3 linked regions of the Daphnia pulex genome follow. The protein of the gene in region 1 interacts with the protein of each later gene in a biochemical or structural test. Links are inferred from orthologs where the notes say so. Each region holds a gene or a part of one and is shown in the gene's direction. Other genes may lie near its edges. The genes, in order: E3 ubiquitin-protein ligase AMFR-like, large proline-rich protein BAG6-like and ubiquitin-conjugating enzyme E2 G1-like.

Region 1 (4,247 bases):
AACAGTCTTTTAAGAAATACAACTTATAAAATAGAATTTTAATCAAAAGAAAAGAATTCCATATTTCTTTACTTGACAGGTTGGAAGGTCGTCTACGAAGAATAGGTCTTAATTCGTCTGAAAAATAATTGGAATGATAGCCAGAATTCGGCTTTGAAGCTATATTACCCATTTAATGCTGGGAGCTGTATAGCGGCGTTTTCCGCAAACATATCTTGTTGAATTCCAATAATCCAAATTTGGCTCAACCAAATAACCTCGCAAATAACAACTTAACACTAACATGATAAACATAAATGTTAACTGCTTGTGAAATGCGTGTTGTAAAACGCTACAGTATAAGAAATTGGAATAGAGCCAAAATGAAAAAAAAAAAAAGATTCTCTTTAAAGTGCAGAGAAAGAGAAAATGAAATGAACTTCAAAAGTCACTTCAATTACTTAGCCATCCCTTGTTTTCGCAAAGTTATTGTTGCTTCATTTATTTATATTGAAGGATTACCACTACATCGGATAAAAGCGAAACAGGGCGCAAATTTCAAATGGAAACCTTGACCTGTCGTGACCATCAGGAGGTACGCGATAAGACTTTGGTATGTAGTGGATTCAAATTGTCTCGAATGTGAACATTTACAGAATTTAACGGTTCAGTTACTTTGCAGAGCTGACGCCCTATTGTAACGAATGTTGAGGACGCAAATCAGGCGTTATAACAGTGCCGTGTGTGTGCAAGGACACCTTCTTCCGGTCCCCATCTGGTACGAAATGACACGCTACTTTTTTCATAACCGCCCAACAAGACGATAAAATCGGCTAGACATGCAGCTAGACAACGTTTTATTTCTGATGTTTCTCCCTTTTTTCTGTCTTCCATCACGCGTTGCCATCAAAGCAGAAATAATAATAGTGAATACATTTTCTTTTCAAGGTTGATTCGGGAGTGCAATTTAGATTAGCGTAATTGAGTACTCTTATGCGTGTCTTAGGGCAGTGCCATAAAACTGAGCATTTTTGGTGCGGGAGAATGTTGCGGAATATTTAGCGAATATATCTCAGAAAATTATTAAGGGATCTTATTGAAGTTGTTTCTGAGTAAAAACAATAAAATCTACTCAGACTTGTGACGTATCTTTTTCATTTTTAATAACAAACCAGTATTCGTCGATCTAAAAACAGATTCAGCCCAGTCCCAGCATCACATGCGTAATGAATAATTGAATATTTATTAGCTTGACTGTCCGAGTCTCCGAGAGCGCAATTCAGTCTACATCTACATTTGAGAACATGTATGCAAAGTTGACATTGAATACATTTTTTCCCCTGGGGATAGCGAGACGAAATCTGCCTTGTAATTTTTGCATATTTTTGACCTTGCTAGAAAATAGTTTGCTGGAACTTTTTGAGGTTGACGCCCAAAACGTCAGTAATTTTTTTTCATTCCGTTTGCAGTGTTTACGTGTACTAGATGCTGTTTAGCCTTACCCGCCTTATCAGAGTTTTGACACATTTTCGGATTATTGAATCATTTGACAAGGCACTTGTTATCGAAATGGTCGTTAGATAACGCAGTGTTATCAAGATGAAATTGCCTTGAATTGCTGTGCTAGCTAATCCTAGTTATTTCTGCTGATGTTTTCAAATGCAATTTTCACCCCAGATTTGTTAGTAGTTTTGTCGTCTTGTGAACCCAATTTTTCTGTGTCAACAACAACAACATGCCTGTCTTACTACTTGAGAGACTACCTCTCCCGAGTTTGGAAGCTTACGCGGTAGTCAGTGTTTCTCTTTTGGGTTTGTCTCTTCACTACGCTGCAGAAAAAACACAAAACCCTGAATGGAGGATGCAATTTGTTAAAACGAATAGCAGCCAAGAGATTCCCAACTCCTTGCAAGCATTTATTTCAAACATCCTGTCTCGTTACTGGCTCAGCTCCAGAGCTCAAGATATTGTGTCATTTTCTATCCATGACAGTCTCTGCATTTGGGTTAGAACATGGCCATCCTATATTATTAGTCAATATCCAACACTTTAATCCTTTTTTATCTTCTATCCTTTACAGATTGTTGTGAACATGGCTTACTGCCTCCTTGTATTATTTGGAAATTGGCTGCAGAAGCAGGTGTTTGGGGAACTAAGAGTTTCTGAACTACAGCACATCAAAGACAAGTTTTGGAATTTTGTGTTTTACAAATTTATTTTTATATTTGGCATTAAAAATGTTCAAAGTATGGAAGGTGTTATATTATGGGGGTCCTGGTTTTCTGTTATTGGCTTTCTACACATTCATGCTCAACTTTGCCAAGACAGATTTGAATATGTAATTGGATTTTATCTTTCTTTTTTAAAAGCTCAAACAGGTATTGTAATTTATCTTATGTTTGGCGAAATTATAGTTATCTATGACTCCATGTACCCCTCGAAATCGACACATCCGCTTGCTTACCCTGCTGGGATCGATTCTGGTGGCATCGGGATTATTATTTTTGATTTGCCTCGCCGTTGGACAACGCGCTGGATGGATTACATTTGCCTTGGTCGCCCCGGAATGTCTTCTCTTGGCTTTACGTACCACCCACGTTATCTTTAGATACATCCTCTACCTGCAGTCTTGTCATCCGCCCATCCATCAGATCTCTCAAGGTTACTTGAGTTGCGCATTCGCAACAGAGACTCTCGATGTGCTCAAACATCTGACGATTGTTGGATCATAGGGTGGAGTCCTTCGTCGTACTACGTGGAATTGGCGGTGGAGATTTCATGCCTCGTTGTGGATTTGGCACATCATGTGAGACGAAATTGCTTTCTGCAATGCGACTGAATTTCGGTAACCCCTTTTTTGTCTCTTTTCGTTTAGATTCACATGCTTCTGCGAGCGAATATGCTGCTCTCTATGGCATCTTTGGTCATTTTCATGCAACTGCGAGTGCTCTACGAACAGCTGTGTGGACGTCTCCGGCGACACGGGAACTACAAACGGTTGCTGAAATTGGTGGAATTGGTTTGTACTCGAGTCGATCTAAAATATCTTAATCTCCCCTTCTTCTGCCAAGTCTCTAGTTTTAATCATTTAGTAATTTATTCTGTTATAATAGTGCTGTCCCTTGGAAACACTCCATTTCGAACTCGAATCTGAATGGGAGGATAACAAATGTGCCATTTGCTGGGAAGCAGCAGCTGTAGCCAGACGGTTGCCGTGTGGTCATCATTTTCATCATGGTATTGATTCATAACAATTAATGAGGCAATCCTTCATCTATCTATACTTGTATAGGTTGTCTGTTGCACTGGTTGGAACAGGATCCTACGTGCCCTACGTGTCGACGCCAACTTTTAGAAGATGGATCGAAAGAAACTGCTTCGTCTTCACGTCCCCGGGAAACTGCAAGTTTTATATCGTGGACGGGCTGGAGTCGACTGTTTCAACAAAACACTGATACTCCGGTAGTAGCAGCTGCAGAAAACTCTCAATTGGAAGCTTTAGCTGATCAGGTGTGACGAAATCTATCATAAAATTCTACTAATTCTTGTTCAACAATTTAAATGTTTATCGTTGTAGGTACTTCAATTGTTTCCCGATTATTCGTTTTCTGTTATCGTTGAAGATCTACGGCAAACTCGCTCAGTAGACTTAACAGTTGAGAATATATTAGAGGGTCGTCTTCTGCCCACACTTCCCAGCTTTCAACAAGAGCCTAGTCTATCTACGTTGCCAACATTCGCCAGGCAAGAAAACCAATTTGATGTTTCCCAGGAACCAGAGAAGCTCTTTGTTGATGATCCGCAAGAAAGACAACACATTCTTCAATGTCGTAAGCATGAATTAATCGCGGAAGCTCGAAATCGCTTTCTTCAGAGACAAGCACTCGAAAACAATTCCACTATCATTGAAAGTTGATTTTCTTGCTATACACGTGTGATTCTAATTTGTTATTGATCCTAAAGTGCGTAAATTATGCATTAGTGCATCTCATAATTCAAAAAACCTGTTTGTATATTGGCAAGGTAAATTATGAGTAGAAAGATAGTGCCTTTTTAATAATTACGAAATACCGCTTCGCTCGACTGGGCGTGGAAGAAAACCCTCTCTATGCCGCAAGCTAGTCCCATCACACAGACGTTCACTGTCAAACAGGGCCTACAAACGTGATTTTACTGATTCACTACCGACGAAGTGAATGCGCAATCAATAGTAACATTTGATTACCAAACATGTAGAGGACGAAATCGGAAATGTGTGACATTTTTTT
Region 2 (4,034 bases), on another chromosome or scaffold:
TTGGATGGACCATGAATTGTGTAGCCACGGATTAATTGTAGGTTGGCCAACCGAATAGATGACTTTGTTCTCTCGAAGGCGGTACCCTTTCCGGTTTGTTATGATAGCAATTATCAGTTCTTTAAGAAATTGCTTGGTAGCTGCCAGTATCAGTTTGATGGCTTTGTCTTCACAACCATGATCCAAACCAGCATCCCAAGCTGCTACTAGCATTCGACCGTGAACGAGTCCAGCGTCAGGTAAAATTAGATCCTGGCTGCAGTAACGAAGCTGTGGTTTCTCTACAGTGCAAGGAGCAGAAAATGGTAACAGAGAAACTGGATTCACTGGTTGGAATCGATTCTAGATAAGAAAAGAATTATGTTAATCAAGGTCTCCAATGAAAATTCCAATAATTAAGACATATTACATCAAAGTTGACAGTGAGAGGCTTGTTCTTTGGGTAAACTTGTCTTGTCACAGTGATCGGTTTGATTTCAACAGAATTACGTTTCTGTAGAGGAATGGTATGTGGTCTGATTTTGTTCACTTCAGTGACAACAATTGGCTTTTGCTTCACACCATGATAGACATAGGTTGAAGGCTGGCACAAGCTTTGACATTTTGTAACAATGGCCAAAAGAAACTCATTGTGAAGATGAACTTGGTCTACTTTCAGGTACAATCTGGCTTGGCGATCAAACTCTTCTTTGCTTGTCTAAATAGAGAGAATGTCAGTTATGACTGAATGGATAGTATAAAAGAAACATTTCTTACCCTCATACAAAACCACGATTTCAGGTGGGCAAAATAACTAAATAAAACATGATATTAGAGATATACCACCACAAATATCAAATCTGATTTATTTACTTCTTAGAAGAATCTCCCAAAACATCCACCAACCGTTTCCTGGCTTCGTTAACATCAAGTGCATTCATTGTTGTTGTGTTCTGACTTTTGAACTGCTTCGCTCACTTTTTTAGATTTAACTCGCCATTGGATTTCGTCTACACCTGTCTTGCCTCGACTATCGAAAACCACCAAAAGATGGTGCTCATTCCAGGAATTGATTTTCATAAAATAATTTTTTCCTTGAATTTGTCATTGATAAATATAACGTGTAAAATTAGATAAAATCTTGTTCGTAAAATGTACAAATTATCATGAAATTGAAGTGAATTCCTCTTTTACGGTTTAAAACCAAGAGAAATAGGTGGCGTTGTAACACAACTTGGTTCGTAAGCCTATGAATTGTCGGCTGTGTCGTGTCGTGTCGATTCGATGTGGAGACAGTTGCGCCTCTATTTGTTATCGTGTATTATTACAGGCCCGATTTCCAGTTTTCCACGTTAGAGATTTACATTTCGACACCCATTACACAACTGACGTCGGTTCAGAGCCGTCCGGTTAGATCGGTAAAATAAAAAATACTGAAACCGAATAATTATTATTAGTGTGTCTGTATCGTCACCAAACTACAGCGAGGTTGGAACTCGAGGTGGTGAAAGCTAAACAAAAATGGCAAATATTGAAGTTACCGTCAAAACCCTCGATTCGCGTAATCATAAATTCACAGTTTCAGAGGAGGTAAGACCATTAAAAGAAACGACTCGTGAGTTTTAGATAGGGGAAACTAACTGGATTTCTGTTTTGCAGCTCACAGTCAAGGAACTTAAAGAACACATTGCTGGGGATGTAGGAACACCAGCAGAGACTCAGCGTTTGATTTACTGTGGCAGAGTTCTTCAAGATGACAAAAAGCTCAGTGAATATGGTAAATTGAAAATACTCTTTCCTAGCTCAAAACAAATGATTGGCATGTAAATGTTTTTGTGTTTTACAGACCTGAGTGGAAAAGTCATTCACTTGGTCCAGAGAGCACCTCCAACAGTTGGTAATCCTCCTTCAGGACCACCAAGAACTCAAGGATCTAGACCAGGAAACATTCACTACCACCTAGACAGAGGGTTTCAAAATGGTGCCAATCATTCATTTGGTAAATTTCTCATCATTATTAAAAGTAGAAATCTCAATAACAATGTTTACGATCAAATGAAGGTTCAGTACCAGCTCCAGCCGGAAGTAGTTCTCTGTTGCGTTTGAATACAGCCAGACACATGCTGGAGGATGCCTCACAGAGTTTGGGAAGGATCAGTTCAGTTCCCAGCACTGGTTCACTCTTTACAATGGATAATACTGCTGAGGGACCCTACTCATCCATACAAATGGTTCAAGCACAGGCTGCCACTGCTATAGCTGCTGCATTTTCAACTGTTCAATCCTTGGGGTAATGACAAACCTCCAAACTAAAAAACTAAAAATGTTAGTTACGTTTCTTTTTATCAGGGCAAACAATATTGCCGTGTTGCAAGGACCTAATGGATCACCAGCAGTTCAAGGATCGTTTGGTTTTCGGGTGCAAGGGCCTCAACCAAATAATCCACCAGAGAGTGGCAGTGGCGCGAGCGAACGCGTAAGTCCTACAGCTCCGACTTCAACAACACCCCCTTCAACAACTCCTCCTTCAACCACCCCATCTGCAACTCCTTCGTCGGCTCCTTCGTCAGCTCCGTCGTCAGCTGCAGCTCCTCCTGGTGACCAACAACCTCGACAACAGCAAATTCGAAATCCTCGAGTGTCTGTCTTTGCCGATGTCATCGAAGATATGGAACGGATCCAGCAGGATCTTCGCCCTCATTTGACAACCGTCCGTCAGCTCCTCAGAGATGATCCCGTATTGGACAGCACATCACCTGAATACCGGCAAGCACAACACACCTACAACCAGGTTCAGTAAAATCATATTATATTTTCCTTTCCATGTTTTTCAATTGATTTTTGATCCAAAAGGTAGCCGAAGGATTGCACTTTTTGGCCCACGCTTTTCACGCCATGAGCGATTTAATGGTTGACTTTGGAACTCCCCCTCCTCGTGAAGTCCGTGCTAGACCCTACGTCTACCAACAAGTTCTTTCATCGACCATACCCATTCACGCTTCAATCAGCGTCGAGACTACACATACCCACCGAGCTCCTCAGACACAGGCTAACCCAGCAGCTCCTGAGGCCGCTACAGCTCCTCAACCGCAACCAGCGCAAGCTCCTCCGCGATTGCCCACAAGAATATCTCCTCATGAGTTCATCCGACACGTTACCCGCCCACCCACTGCAGCTACTGCTGCCAATCCATCAGTTCCTCCAACTACAAATCCGACATTTCATGGTTGGCGGGCTGCTGGAACGACCGGAACGGGTGTAGCTAATGCATCGGCGCAGAATCCCCCAGCTCCAAGAGCCTCAGTCCAAATGCTGCACCCTGAAATGCTGGTCAGGGGAGGACCGCACCCGTTTGGACGTTTGCCTTTAGCCATGGCGAGTCAAGGAGGCTGGACCCCTGTCAATTTAGGTGGTCAAATGCATCCAATGTCGCTCTTTATGGAAGTTCGCTCGAACAACAATCAACAGGAAGATCAACAAGCGTCTCGTGGGCAATCACCAACATCTTTGGGCGAATTTGACGACTTTTTACCGTGTCATTCTCGACATGTTACCCGCTCGTCTTCATCCAGACCCGACACTGAGCGAGCCAGACCACGCCCAGTGGTTGTCACTTCCACGTCGGCGGCACAAGCTTTTCCCGGTCTCAATCAAACCCGTCCACCAGGCCCTGGAAATCAACCGACAGCCGTTCCGGCCTCCGTCGACGAATTTATGAACGAAATGTTTCGTCAGGTAATTGCGGCATTGAAAATTGCGAGAGGAAAACATTGATAATGATTGGTCATTAAATGGAAATTCAGGTGACGGCCAATAGCGGTGTACTATCAGGCGGGGTAGTAGCAGGTGGAACGAGTGGTGGAGATGGATCCAGCAGCCCTAATCCAGTGTTAACCAACGCCTTGTTTAGTAGTTTGCTCCAGGGAGTCATGCAAGAAGTTGCGGGTGTGGTGAGTGGCCATCAGTCGCCCAACACGGTGGCCCATTTCTTACGCAACATTCCTGATTTCACTTACACGGCCGGCGAGTCGTTCCTCTTTGACCTCTTTATGACT
Region 3 (3,599 bases), on another chromosome or scaffold:
ATCTCTTCCTAGTATCAAAAGTTTGTATGCCGAAGATGAACAGGGTCCACGTGAAAGCCTCACATTACCACAGAAATGCTTTTCTGTCAGTACCAAACCTTTGCAAGCTATAACATCTTTAAATGATAACTTACTCGTTGGAGGCAAGAACTGTATTGAGGCATTTAGCTGGAATCAATTGGTGCTTCCACAGAATAGTGATGAGAAGGTGAAACCTTGCTGGAAAGTTGATCTTCGCTTGCCAACGTAACCATATTAGAATATTCTGATTATTACATTTATCATAATTAACTGTTGGTTTTATGTAATTTTATAGTGACTTTGGCACTAAAGAAACTGTAGATTGCATGATTAACGGTGAAAACTCAACTTTTGTTGCTTGTGGAGACAACAATATTCATCATGTAGATCTTGAATATGGGAAAGTTAAACAAACCTTCTCTGGTCATACTGATTTCATTCACTCAATGTCCCTGGTGTATGTAGATGTAGTTACAATTCAAGTTATTGCATAAAAACATTAATTACTTTTTATTGTGTGATAGTGGGAATCAGCTATCAAGTGCAAGTGAAGACGGAACAGTATGCATCTGGGATACTCGAAAATCAAAACCTAATCACGTAATTACACCACATTTGGAGTCTAAACTGAATCGACCCCATCTGGGAAAATGGGTTGGTGCTGTTGCTATGAATGAAGATTGGTTGGTAAGTCTTGTTTAAGGAAGTAATCTAATCGATGAGAAATCACTACAGTTGTTATTTGTCGCATATCATAGGTGTGTGGAGGAGGCCCGCACTTAGGACTTTATCATTTACGATCTTTGACAATGAGTAGAGTATTACTCGAAGAAGACGTCCATGGTGTTAACAACGTTATGTTTCACGAAGACAATATAATCGTCGGCGTAGATGGACCGTTTGTATACCAATGGTAATTTTTAAAAATTTAAATTTCCCCCTTGACACTAATGTGTGAGCTGGGTCAATTATTTTTAGCTTATTTTCGGGAGATATTACCGTCAAAATGCCTACAAGTCCCCTTAGAGTCTACAGTATTTGCCTCCAGAAAAAGGATGCAAATAAAGTAAAAAAATATTATGATAATGAAATGAAAAACAAATATAATCTTTGGATTGTTATATTAGTTGCTATTCGTCGGCGGATCCGGTGGAGACATTGACATTTGCACCAGTTCTAAACTACAAGATCAAGTGATTCGTTGTCTTTCATGAATTATGTATCGTCATTTGAACATTTTCATCTCGCTTGCCCTTCCATCAATTATTATACAAAAAAAAACAAAGACATCTGCCATGTCTTTAGATTAATAATGTCAAATTGTGATGTTTTATATCGAGTAATGTTCACAAGAAAATACATCGTGATAATTTATTTCTGGGTTTATTGAATCAATGTTTATTTTAGGAGTGCAATTTAAAAAAAATTAAAATTTATAAAACATGCATTGACGGCATTGACGGAGATTGGTCCGTGACCTGGCCGTGATTAAATTGATTGGCCAACAACGCGCGAGCTCTAGAGGAAGGAAGGAGATTTGGCAACGTCAAAGGCTAGGACGAAGCAAGCAACGTGCTTGGAAAGACTTCTCAACTTGAGAGAAGACTTCTCAAGTTCCTCTCAACAAATTTACGTTTTGATTTCATTATGTCCGAATTGCAGTCAGCATTACTTCTTAAAAAACAGCTAGCAGGTAATTCAGTTGTTCTTGGAACAGGTTATGTAAGATGAAGAGCGTGCGAGTCGCTGTACTTTTTATTTGTTTCACCAGTTTCACTCATTCAATGGCGTTGGCTGACGGCTTTCTTGTTTGTTATATGCTTGACTTGAAATTTTTTATCGAGTTTAAGTGTTGTTTTAACATTCGTTTATTTGTCATTTCATCATTTTTGCAGAGTTAAACAAGAACCCTGTTGAGGGTTTCTCTGCTGGACTCATCGATGACAGTGACATTTATCGATGGGAAGTCCTGCTCATTGGACCACCCGACACTCTTTAGTAATTTTTTTATTAATGTTTTAATGAATTGTAATATCATTTTTATCATTTGAAATTTGACAGTGAGGGAGGGTTCTTCAAAGCACACATCTACTTCCCCAAAGAGTACCCGCTGAGGCCTCCCAAAATGAAGTTCATTACAGAGATTTGGCACCCTAATAGTAAGTTGTGTTTTATTTAATTCATTATTTTATCTATGTATATCTAATTATATTATTTCCAATAGTTGAGAAGAATGGTGATGTTTGCATATCTATACTTCATGAGCCTGGAGATGACAAGTGGGGTTACGAGAAAGCTTGTGAGCGGTGGTTACCCATTCACACTGTGGAAACTATTATGATCTCGGTCATCTCTATGCTGGCAGACCCCAATGATCAGAGCCCGGCTAATGTAGACGCAGCCAAAGAATGGCGAGAGAACTTCCCAGAATTCAAAAGGAAGGTGGCAAGGTGCGTTCGCCGGAGTCAAGAAGAAATGTTGTAAGGAACCGAGTAAAGATGAAATAGGCAGTGTAATGTCATCCAATAATTCAGTTGTGTCAAGCCCCCTCGACAGGATTTTCTCCTGCCTAACTGAATTTTAGGAAGGATTTCTCTCCAAACTCGCTCATTTGTCTTATTTTTCCTCTCCGATTCTATATTGCTTTGAATTCTATACAAAACAAAATAATAAAAGAAACGTTTCGAAAACTTCACAAACGAAATGTTCAGAGGAATGTCATGAAGGTAGGCCATGCATGAAATCTAGGATTAAAATTTTCTGATGAAAACTTAGTTGCCTGTTGCAAACCGAAAAATTTAACTAATGAATTCTCCAACCTTATTTAAATGCAAGAGAAAAACAAAATTCAAACAAGTTATGTCACCACAACTTGTAGTTTCACCTCGTGATATCTTGTCATTTTATATATTTTTTTAAAAGCAAGTTTTCTTCCTTCTTTCCTCATCTTTGAAATTAACATTTCCTTACTCGTCACCCTTCAATTTATCCCATACGGGTGATTGTGTGTGCGTGTTTTTGCACGTCTGAAAAGCAATTTTTGACAAGAATAAATGTCGATTCAGGCCTTGTATTTTGAGCAATCCATTATGATTCACAATTTTCAGCTCCAGTTAAGGATTTCTTGCGTCCTTCGTTTGAATTGCGCAAAGCAATTCCCAGTAACCCGAAAAGAGCAGCACCTATTCAAATTTACATAATTTCTTATCCCATAGATTTAAAAAAAATTATTTTATGAAATTTACTGATCAAGAAGAATCCTGGATAAAACAGAATAAGAGTCTCCCTGTATCCCATAAGCTTGCTGATTGGAGTAATGATGACTGGCAAATTACCTCCAACCTATTAGAATTGCATGTAAGTTATCATTTCTAATAATAAAATAAAATTTAACTTTAATACATTGTTCATAACGAATAAGAAGACAGCAATAACGAAGGAACACGCTGTGGATGGCACCAATTCGATCAAAATGGCGAAAAGTACACCAAACCACATTTCGGCAAAAAGATACGCAATCAGCAGAGATGCAAAGCAGTAGGGCGGAGGTAGGAGCAACACACCTGCTGCAAACGGGC

What was found.
Region 2: the proteins of E3 ubiquitin-protein ligase AMFR-like (region 1) and large proline-rich protein BAG6-like form a complex in vitro, tested with the Homo sapiens proteins (2 studies listed by BioGRID, with this or other methods). The link is inferred for Daphnia pulex from reciprocal best matches to the Homo sapiens genes AMFR and BAG6.
Region 3: the proteins of E3 ubiquitin-protein ligase AMFR-like (region 1) and ubiquitin-conjugating enzyme E2 G1-like form a complex in vitro, tested with the Homo sapiens proteins (7 studies listed by BioGRID, with this or other methods). The link is inferred for Daphnia pulex from reciprocal best matches to the Homo sapiens genes AMFR and UBE2G1.

The regions. Positions count from the first base shown.
Region 1 is NC_060017.1:3,098,088-3,102,334, reverse strand, and holds E3 ubiquitin-protein ligase AMFR-like, read left to right. Parts: upstream 1-1,441; 5' UTR 1,442-1,714; coding exon 1,715-1,984; intron 1,985-2,059; coding exon 2,060-2,317; intron 2,318-2,393; coding exon 2,394-2,640; intron 2,641-2,711; coding exon 2,712-2,785; intron 2,786-2,854; coding exon 2,855-2,998; intron 2,999-3,092; coding exon 3,093-3,216; intron 3,217-3,271; coding exon 3,272-3,489; intron 3,490-3,556; coding exon 3,557-3,895; 3' UTR 3,896-3,923; downstream 3,924-4,247. UniProt on the Homo sapiens protein: E3 ubiquitin-protein ligase that mediates the polyubiquitination of lysine and cysteine residues on target proteins, such as CD3D, CYP3A4, CFTR, INSIG1, SOAT2/ACAT2 and APOB for proteasomal degradation.
Region 2 is NC_060023.1:11,638,803-11,642,836, reverse strand, and holds the start of large proline-rich protein BAG6-like, read left to right. Parts: upstream 1-1,234; 5' UTR 1,235-1,500; coding exon 1,501-1,569; intron 1,570-1,638; coding exon 1,639-1,756; intron 1,757-1,825; coding exon 1,826-1,978; intron 1,979-2,040; coding exon 2,041-2,269; intron 2,270-2,328; coding exon 2,329-2,770; intron 2,771-2,832; coding exon 2,833-3,714; intron 3,715-3,782; coding exon 3,783-4,034. Other genes in the region: transcriptional adapter 1-like, read right to left, coding at 1-342, 410-697, 757-793, 853-920. UniProt on the Homo sapiens protein: ATP-independent molecular chaperone preventing the aggregation of misfolded and hydrophobic patches-containing proteins.
Region 3 is NC_060027.1:618,669-622,267, forward strand, and holds ubiquitin-conjugating enzyme E2 G1-like, read left to right. Parts: upstream 1-1,497; 5' UTR 1,498-1,668; coding exon 1,669-1,714; intron 1,715-1,916; coding exon 1,917-2,019; intron 2,020-2,082; coding exon 2,083-2,180; intron 2,181-2,245; coding exon 2,246-2,505; 3' UTR 2,506-3,094; downstream 3,095-3,599. Other genes in the region: THO complex subunit 6 homolog, read left to right, coding at 13-246, 317-478, 546-708, 780-934, 1,000-1,087, 1,149-1,235; probable sulfoacetate transporter SauU, read right to left, coding at 3,109-3,203, 3,267-3,363, 3,424-3,599. UniProt on the Homo sapiens protein: Accepts ubiquitin from the E1 complex and catalyzes its covalent attachment to other proteins. In vitro catalyzes 'Lys-48'-, as well as 'Lys-63'-linked polyubiquitination. May be involved in degradation of muscle-specific proteins.